2 linked regions of the Saccharomyces cerevisiae S288C genome follow. The gene in region 1 interacts genetically with each later gene. Each region holds a gene or a part of one and is shown in the gene's direction. Other genes may lie near its edges. The genes, in order: YEF3 and HEL2.

The links.
Region 2: of YEF3 (region 1) and HEL2, changing one suppresses a phenotype caused by changing the other (phenotypic suppression), as found in Saccharomyces cerevisiae (one study listed by BioGRID).

The regions. Positions count from the first base shown.
Region 1 is NC_001144.5:634,754-640,435, forward strand, and holds YEF3 (translation elongation factor EF-3), read left to right. Parts: upstream 1-2,026; coding exon 2,027-5,161; downstream 5,162-5,682. Other genes in the region: serine/threonine protein kinase RCK2, read left to right, coding at 1-1,331; nucleobindin SSP120, read left to right, coding at 5,564-5,682. UniProt on the Saccharomyces cerevisiae protein: Ribosome-dependent ATPase that functions in cytoplasmic translation elongation. Required for the ATP-dependent release of deacylated tRNA from the ribosomal E-site during protein biosynthesis.
Region 2 is NC_001136.10:999,531-1,003,837, reverse strand, and holds HEL2 (E3 ubiquitin-protein ligase HEL2), read left to right. Parts: upstream 1-1,814; coding exon 1,815-3,734; downstream 3,735-4,307. Other genes in the region: iron-sulfur cluster assembly protein CIA1, read left to right, coding at 336-1,328; PEX10 (ubiquitin-protein ligase peroxin 10), read right to left, coding at 3,961-4,307. UniProt on the Saccharomyces cerevisiae protein: E3 ubiquitin-protein ligase that plays a key role in the ribosome quality control (RQC), a pathway that takes place when a ribosome has stalled during translation, leading to degradation of nascent peptide chains.

The DNA.
Region 1 (5,682 bases):
AAATCGGTGAAGGTGCTTTTTCAAAAGTCTTTAGAGCCATACCTGCTAAAAATAGTTCTAATGAATTTTTAACTAAAAACTATAAAGCTGTTGCCATTAAAGTTATCAAAAAGGCAGATTTATCCTCGATTAATGGTGATCATCGTAAGAAGGACAAAGGGAAGGACAGCACTAAAACTTCTTCCAGAGATCAAGTCTTGAAGGAAGTTGCACTACATAAGACGGTTTCCGCTGGTTGTTCACAAATTGTCGCGTTCATAGACTTCCAAGAAACAGATAGCTATTATTATATTATTCAAGAGTTACTAACCGGTGGGGAAATCTTCGGCGAAATTGTTAGGTTGACCTATTTCAGTGAAGATTTATCAAGGCATGTAATCAAACAATTAGCACTGGCTGTTAAACATATGCATTCACTAGGTGTAGTGCATCGTGATATAAAACCTGAGAATCTTCTTTTTGAACCGATTGAATTCACACGCTCTATAAAACCAAAATTGAGGAAATCGGATGATCCGCAAACAAAGGCAGACGAGGGAATTTTCACACCAGGAGTTGGTGGTGGTGGAATTGGTATAGTAAAACTAGCTGATTTTGGTTTGTCTAAACAAATATTTTCCAAGAACACCAAGACTCCTTGTGGTACAGTCGGTTACACTGCCCCTGAAGTTGTCAAAGATGAGCATTATTCTATGAAAGTGGATATGTGGGGGATTGGTTGCGTTTTGTACACAATGTTATGTGGGTTCCCGCCATTCTATGATGAGAAAATTGACACTTTAACTGAAAAAATATCAAGGGGTGAGTATACCTTTCTGAAACCTTGGTGGGATGAAATCAGCGCCGGTGCCAAGAATGCCGTGGCTAAGCTATTAGAACTAGAGCCGTCTAAAAGATACGACATTGACCAGTTTTTGGACGACCCATGGTTAAATACATTCGATTGTTTACCAAAGGAGGGCGAATCTTCACAAAAGAAAGCAGGTACTTCCGAAAGACGCCATCCGCATAAGAAACAATTCCAACTATTTCAAAGAGACTCCTCGCTACTGTTTTCACCAGCTGCTGTTGCTATGCGTGACGCCTTTGATATTGGTAATGCTGTGAAACGTACCGAAGAAGACCGTATGGGAACACGTGGAGGATTAGGCTCGCTTGCTGAGGACGAAGAATTGGAAGATAGTTACAGTGGCGCCCAAGGCGATGAACAGCTGGAACAAAATATGTTCCAATTAACGCTGGATACGTCCACGATTCTGCAAAGAAGAAAAAAAGTTCAAGAAAATGACGTAGGGCCTACAATTCCAATAAGCGCCACTATCAGGGAATAGCAACTTTCCCTTCTGTTTCAATCTTTTTACCTATTCCTTTTTAAAAGATATATATACATTAAACTCCTTCTACAAGTATATATTTTATACATATCTACAGGGCGTATATATACATAACATTTTAAGATAAGCAAGTGAATGTTGATTCCCGTTTCTTAGTCAACACTTCTTTCTATTTTACCCGGTCGTTACCCTATTAAAAAAACAACTTACAATCATTGTTCGCCCCTTCCATACTTACTGCCACTCGCAAAAGGGCCCAACCAGGGCAATTACGTATCAAAAAATCATGACAGGCTGGGTAATAAATATTCGTGAAGAAAGAAGAAATTAAAAAAAGAAACGAAGAAGCAAAAAAAAGAAAAGACTCCGTTTAATCACTTTCAACCGCGGTTTATCCGGCCCCACCCATGCATAACCCTAAATTATTAGATCACTTAGCACGTGAAAAAGAAACGTTTTTAATGTTTTTTTTTTTTTTTTCTTTTTCTTTTTTTGCGTTGGTGAAAATTTTTTCGCTTCCTCGAGTATAATTATCTCATCTCATCTTTCATATAAGATAAGAAGTTTTATAAAAACCTTTTGCATCAAAATTTTGTAGAATATCTCTTTTTCTTACGCTCTCTTTCTTTCCTTAATTGTTTTCTAAAGAACCGTGTATTTTTCTAGTTCGAATCCATCGATAACATTAAAAGATGTCTGATTCCCAGCAATCCATTAAGGTTCTAGAAGAACTATTCCAGAAGTTATCTGTTGCCACTGCTGACAACAGACACGAAATCGCTTCTGAAGTCGCTTCTTTCTTGAATGGTAACATCATTGAACATGATGTTCCAGAACACTTCTTCGGTGAATTGGCCAAGGGTATCAAGGACAAGAAGACCGCTGCTAACGCCATGCAAGCTGTTGCTCACATTGCTAACCAATCTAACTTGTCTCCATCTGTTGAACCATACATCGTCCAATTGGTTCCAGCTATCTGTACCAACGCAGGTAACAAGGACAAAGAAATTCAATCTGTTGCTTCCGAAACTTTGATTTCCATCGTTAACGCTGTTAACCCAGTTGCCATCAAAGCTTTGTTGCCACATTTGACTAACGCTATTGTCGAAACTAACAAATGGCAAGAAAAGATTGCTATTTTGGCAGCTATCTCTGCTATGGTCGATGCTGCTAAGGATCAAGTTGCCCTAAGAATGCCAGAATTGATTCCAGTCTTGTCTGAAACCATGTGGGACACCAAGAAGGAAGTCAAGGCTGCTGCTACTGCCGCCATGACCAAGGCTACCGAAACTGTTGACAACAAGGATATTGAACGTTTCATTCCAAGTTTGATTCAATGTATTGCTGACCCAACTGAAGTTCCAGAAACCGTTCATTTGTTAGGTGCTACTACTTTCGTTGCTGAAGTTACTCCAGCTACTTTGTCCATCATGGTCCCATTGTTGTCCAGAGGTTTGAACGAAAGAGAAACCGGTATCAAGCGTAAGTCTGCTGTTATTATTGACAACATGTGTAAGTTGGTCGAAGACCCACAAGTTATTGCTCCTTTCTTGGGTAAATTGTTGCCAGGTTTGAAGAGTAACTTTGCTACCATTGCTGACCCAGAAGCCAGAGAAGTTACTTTGAGAGCTTTGAAGACTTTGAGAAGAGTTGGTAACGTTGGTGAAGACGATGCTATTCCAGAAGTTTCTCACGCTGGTGACGTTTCTACTACTTTGCAAGTCGTTAACGAATTGTTGAAGGACGAAACCGTTGCTCCAAGATTTAAGATTGTCGTCGAGTACATTGCCGCCATTGGTGCTGATTTGATCGATGAAAGAATCATTGACCAACAAGCTTGGTTCACCCACATCACCCCATACATGACTATCTTCTTGCACGAAAAGAAGGCCAAGGACATCTTGGACGAATTCAGAAAGAGAGCTGTCGACAACATTCCAGTTGGTCCAAACTTCGACGACGAAGAAGACGAAGGTGAAGACTTATGTAACTGTGAATTCTCTTTGGCTTATGGTGCTAAAATCTTGTTGAACAAGACCCAATTAAGATTGAAGAGAGCCAGAAGATATGGTATCTGTGGTCCAAACGGTTGTGGTAAGTCCACTTTAATGAGAGCTATTGCCAACGGTCAAGTTGATGGTTTCCCAACCCAAGAAGAATGTAGAACCGTCTACGTCGAACACGACATTGATGGTACTCACTCTGACACTTCCGTCTTGGATTTCGTTTTCGAATCTGGTGTTGGTACTAAAGAAGCTATCAAGGACAAATTGATTGAATTCGGTTTCACCGATGAAATGATTGCTATGCCAATCTCTGCTTTGTCTGGTGGTTGGAAGATGAAGTTGGCTCTAGCTAGAGCTGTGTTGAGAAATGCTGATATCTTGTTGTTAGATGAACCAACTAACCATTTGGATACCGTCAACGTTGCTTGGTTAGTTAACTACTTGAACACCTGTGGTATCACTTCTATCACTATTTCTCACGACTCCGTTTTCTTAGATAACGTCTGTGAATATATTATTAACTACGAAGGTTTGAAGTTGAGAAAGTACAAGGGTAACTTTACCGAATTCGTTAAGAAGTGTCCAGCTGCTAAGGCTTACGAAGAATTATCCAACACTGATTTGGAATTCAAGTTCCCAGAACCAGGTTACTTGGAAGGTGTTAAGACTAAGCAAAAGGCTATTGTCAAGGTTACCAACATGGAATTCCAATATCCAGGTACCTCTAAGCCACAAATCACTGACATTAACTTCCAATGTTCTTTGTCTTCCAGAATTGCTGTCATTGGTCCAAATGGTGCTGGTAAGTCTACTTTGATTAACGTCTTGACTGGTGAACTATTACCAACCTCTGGTGAAGTCTACACCCACGAAAATTGTCGTATCGCTTACATTAAGCAACACGCTTTTGCTCATATCGAATCTCATTTGGACAAGACTCCATCTGAATATATCCAATGGAGATTCCAAACCGGTGAAGATAGAGAAACCATGGACAGAGCTAACAGACAAATCAACGAAAACGATGCTGAAGCTATGAACAAGATCTTCAAGATTGAAGGTACCCCTAGAAGAATTGCCGGTATCCACTCCAGAAGAAAGTTCAAGAACACTTACGAATATGAATGTTCTTTCTTATTGGGTGAAAACATTGGTATGAAATCTGAAAGATGGGTTCCAATGATGTCCGTCGACAACGCTTGGATTCCAAGAGGTGAATTGGTTGAATCTCACTCTAAGATGGTTGCTGAAGTTGATATGAAGGAAGCTTTGGCTTCTGGTCAATTCCGTCCATTAACCAGAAAAGAAATTGAAGAACATTGTTCCATGTTGGGTTTGGACCCAGAAATTGTTTCTCACTCCAGAATTAGAGGTTTGTCTGGTGGTCAAAAGGTTAAGTTGGTCTTAGCTGCCGGTACATGGCAAAGACCTCACTTGATTGTCTTAGATGAACCTACCAACTATCTGGACAGAGATTCTTTGGGTGCTTTGTCTAAGGCTTTGAAGGAATTTGAAGGTGGTGTTATTATCATTACTCACTCTGCTGAATTCACAAAGAACTTGACTGAAGAAGTCTGGGCCGTCAAGGACGGTAGAATGACTCCATCTGGTCACAACTGGGTTAGTGGTCAAGGTGCTGGTCCAAGAATCGAAAAGAAGGAAGACGAAGAAGATAAATTCGATGCTATGGGTAACAAGATTGCCGGTGGTAAGAAGAAGAAGAAGTTGTCTTCTGCGGAATTGAGAAAGAAGAAGAAGGAAAGAATGAAGAAGAAGAAGGAATTGGGTGATGCTTACGTTTCTTCTGACGAAGAATTCTAATCTTTTTGATCACTGCTTTCACAGTTTTCTTTAAGATTTTTATTGATCAATAATTTATGTATATTTTAATTTCTATGTTTTTGTAATATTGTTTATTTTGGTAAAATATAGACGCAACTTCCTTATTATAAAGAAAGGCATTATTTAAAAGAAAAAGCGTTCCATTAGTCAGACATCTTTTTTTTTCATACATTCTTAAGCTCAGGCAAATTGAGCATTGCCTCATACCCTTTTCGGTAAGAGGGTAACGAAAATATTTTTTTGGAAGAATAAAAATAGGTGACGGATCATAGACTAGGAAGCTTTAAAACATGATTGAGCGTAATATTATATTCCTTCTAGAAAAGATAAAAGAGCCAAGACCTAAAATTTTTTCATCCCTGTTCTATTAAAATTGTGGAAATGAGGTTTTTGAGGGGATTTGTATTTTCTTTGGCTTTCACTCTATATAAAGTAACTGCCACGGCAGAAATAGGATCTGAAATTAATGTGGAAAATGAGGCACCACCTGATGGTTTATC
Region 2 (4,307 bases), on another chromosome or scaffold:
TATCTTGTTTTGTGTTGCCTTTATAAGGAGAAAAAGATCTTCAAGAAAAGGTCATACTAATTGTAGAAACGTTTGAATTTAAGGAATCTGACTCTGATGTGCATAGCAGTGTTACTACTATTTATTTTCTTGAAAAATACCATCGTGATTGCCTTCAAATAGGTCATCTAAAACTTTCTGCTCTCAGCGGGCCGTGTTTTGAAAAATCTCACATCGAATATTGTATCGTCTTTGCCTCATTAATTGCGAATAAATACTAGATTTGTAGATATCACAAATCAAAATCGGGCTATACCACGACATTTTAATAGTTCAATTGGTTTACTTATTTGGTAATGGCGTCTATCAATCTGATTAAGTCTTTGAAACTTTACAAGGAAAAGATATGGTCTTTTGACTTTTCTCAAGGTATATTAGCAACAGGTTCAACTGATCGAAAAATTAAGCTAGTTAGCGTGAAATATGACGATTTTACGTTAATTGATGTGCTAGATGAGACTGCTCATAAAAAGGCGATTCGATCTGTGGCGTGGAGACCTCACACTTCGCTGTTAGCGGCTGGCTCTTTTGATTCCACTGTATCTATCTGGGCTAAGGAAGAATCTGCTGACAGAACTTTCGAGATGGACCTGCTAGCTATTATCGAAGGTCACGAAAATGAAGTAAAAGGTGTAGCGTGGTCGAATGATGGATATTACCTAGCAACCTGTTCCAGAGATAAAAGCGTGTGGATATGGGAAACAGATGAAAGTGGCGAGGAATATGAGTGTATTAGTGTTTTGCAAGAACATTCACAAGACGTTAAACATGTTATATGGCATCCATCTGAAGCATTACTGGCTTCAAGTTCTTATGATGACACCGTCAGGATATGGAAAGACTATGACGATGACTGGGAATGTGTTGCTGTCTTAAATGGCCATGAAGGAACTGTTTGGTCTTCTGATTTTGACAAGACTGAGGGCGTGTTTAGACTGTGCAGTGGAAGCGACGATTCCACTGTACGGGTATGGAAATACATGGGTGACGACGAGGATGATCAACAAGAATGGGTTTGTGAAGCTATTCTCCCGGATGTACACAAAAGACAGGTATACAATGTTGCATGGGGCTTTAATGGCCTCATTGCTAGTGTAGGAGCGGATGGAGTACTAGCGGTCTATGAAGAAGTAGACGGAGAATGGAAAGTTTTTGCTAAACGTGCATTATGTCATGGAGTTTATGAAATCAACGTTGTGAAGTGGTTGGAGTTAAATGGTAAAACTATACTTGCAACAGGCGGTGACGACGGGATCGTAAATTTCTGGTCTCTAGAAAAAGCAGCGTAGATGTAGAAGCAAGAGTACAATTCAGGAACTCATATTAACACAGTGATCGATCTGAATTCTAAAAATAAACTTAATGACGATTTTTCTACCTAGTTACATAAACCTTTGTATCACTATAACGCAATTCTGTCATGTGTGACGGAGTGACCTCGTTATACATATCCCTGCATTAAAAGCATGCGGTAAAAACTGAAATTTAAAAATGAAAAAAAAAAAAATTAGATATTCGGAAGACTTGTAATTAAGCATTATCTCGAATAAAGAAAGGTTACACTGAAAGTTTCATACTCGCGGTCACTCTTAATAATAGCTATATTTTCTGATTTTCTCTTAAGATTTTGAAAAGGGCATCTGAACGACTGCCCACTCAGCCATATTCAACAAATCGTCGAGCGCATACCTAGCTGAAAAAGATCCATAAAGTGCATTTTGATACAGTCTCTTTCGTCGAAAAAATAGTGGCTATACTTCTTTTCAAGAATTAGGATGAGCGAATCAGTGAAAGAAAACGTTACTCCGACACGTAACTTCCGTCGTACTCAAGGGCCCCAAAATAATACAAAACCTCACAACGACAGGAAGAATTTCAGAAGAAAGCAAAAGAAAAATAACCTTTCTGCTGAACCCAACCTCACCACTTCAAGCGCAGATGATACTGATGAAGAAAATGAATTATGTGTAATTTGTGCGCGCAAGTTAACATACGTATCTCTAACACCATGCCATCATAAGACATGCCATATCTGTGGTTTCAGACAACGAGCTTTGTACAACAAGAAAAGCTGTTTGATTTGCAGAACGGAGAATGAAGAAGTCATGTTTACCGATCGCATAGATGGTGATATTTCAGATAAATATAACTTTTGCGAAAAAAATGAAAAATATGGAATAAATTTCACTAGCGAAGAGGTTGCTACCGAAACACTAAATCTTTTAAAATTTTTTTGTCCCCTATCGAAGGATGAACAAGTTTGTGACTTTGGTAGTTTCAAGAAATATAATGAACACTTGAAATCTGAACATAACAGAATGATCTGTTTAATATGTGCAACCCATAAGCATGCATTCCCTTGTGAGCTTGAAATATTCACCCAAAATCAATTACGCAACCATCAAACTAAGGGTAATTCAGAAGGATTCAAAGGCCACCCTATGTGTGCCTTCTGTTCCGGAAAACGATTTTATTCAGACGACGAATTGTACATTCACATGAGAAATCAGCATGAAAAGTGCCATATTTGTGATAAGATGAACCCCGCTTCTCCTCAATACTTTAAGGATTATAATCAGCTTTTTGACCACTTTAAACATTCGCATTACGTTTGCACCGTCCAAACTTGCTTAGATAACAAGTTTGTCGTATTTAAAGACGAGTTGGAGTTACAAGCCCACATTTTGCAGGAGCATGGTAATATCCTGAAGGGAAAGCCAAAGTTTTTCCAGTCAGAACTTTCTACTTTTATCTCGGCTCCATCTAGAGTGATCAGGGAAAGAGATGATTACGACCTTCCATCTATATCTTCCCTACCGGGTTCATCATCCGGCTCTAGAACTGATGTGAGATCTGCTAGTTCTCCCGAGGAAAGTAGACTAAGATTGGCAGAAAGAGCAAAATACTATCTGGAAAATTCCAAAGAAGACTTCAATAAGTTTTCTTCTTATAACGAAGATTATTCTAAAGGTCGCTTAAGTGCTGAAAAATTATTGGAATCATATAAATTGTTATTCACAAAACCAAATGCGGATGTATATTTATTGATTCATAACTTAGCTGAAACCTTTCCCAAAAACTCCTCCAAATACAATAATCTGAACGCCATATATGAACAAAGAGAGCAAACCCTTGCACGACAAACTTCACTACCTTCTTTATCTAGTGATTCTTCCCTTTCAATGTCAATAGGCAGGGGCCATTGGGGTGGAACAAACGATGGGGGCAGCGCTGGTGCAGCATTAGGCGTTAGGAATATCAAAAATCTTCCAACCCTGAAAAGTCCTTCAGCGTCGTATGATCCCTTTGCAACCACCGTAAAAAAAAACACTCTGAGACCCGTGCAAAACATTAAAAGAACTACACCTCAATCAGTTAGTTATCGAACTTCCACTAATACAGTCGCCTTCTCTCCAACCTATTTGGAAAGTAAAAAGGGTTCCTCTTCTACTTCTCTAAATAATAGCAAAGATAAATTGAAAAGTCTCAACCTACCTCAACTACCTCCACCAAAGCCAAAGGTGCAAATTCCAGGTCTGAACAGACCCCAAATTGCTGATCCTAAGCAGTGGGGTAAAAAGTCAAGCACACAAGATACTAACGTGCACGATAATTTGAGGGAATTGAACACAACTAGTGGAGGAAATAAAAAGAAAGGCAAACAAAAGCAGCTGTTATTCCACATTGGTGTATAGTTGGAAATATATTTCTAACCTGTAACTGACAATAGCATTAGAGAAATGAAAGTCTTAAATAAAATTCCGATAAAGAAAAACTTATTTAATTAATTAATATAATTACAAGACTAAAAAGCATTATTTCCCCTTCGCGTTTTACTTCTCCTGCTCAGACGTCTGCGTTATTTCTGAAAAAGGCCTGTGGACAATGCTAAAAGAGTAGTCAAATTATTGATTAGTTCCTCTATTGCCGCAGGACCAGAATTTCCTGTGGTTGACAGTGTTGTCTGCACAAGGGGCATTCTGGCCTCTCTTTACACCAGCTCATAAGACAACTCCAACAAAATAGATGTCCACATGGCGCGCAGCTAGGATCACTCATGTTCATGAGACATAGGATGCATTTTCTCGAGGCTTCTGGAATAAATGGCAATTGGTTTTTATCTGACAAATTTATATGAGTCAGCTGCGATTCCTTCGGTATGCCTTCTATAGATTCATGTTCTGAACGCTCCTGTAGACCAACAGACGACCTAGTAATTGAATCATTGGTCCTTTTTCTCCCATAAATCCAGGACCCGAGCGTAGAGG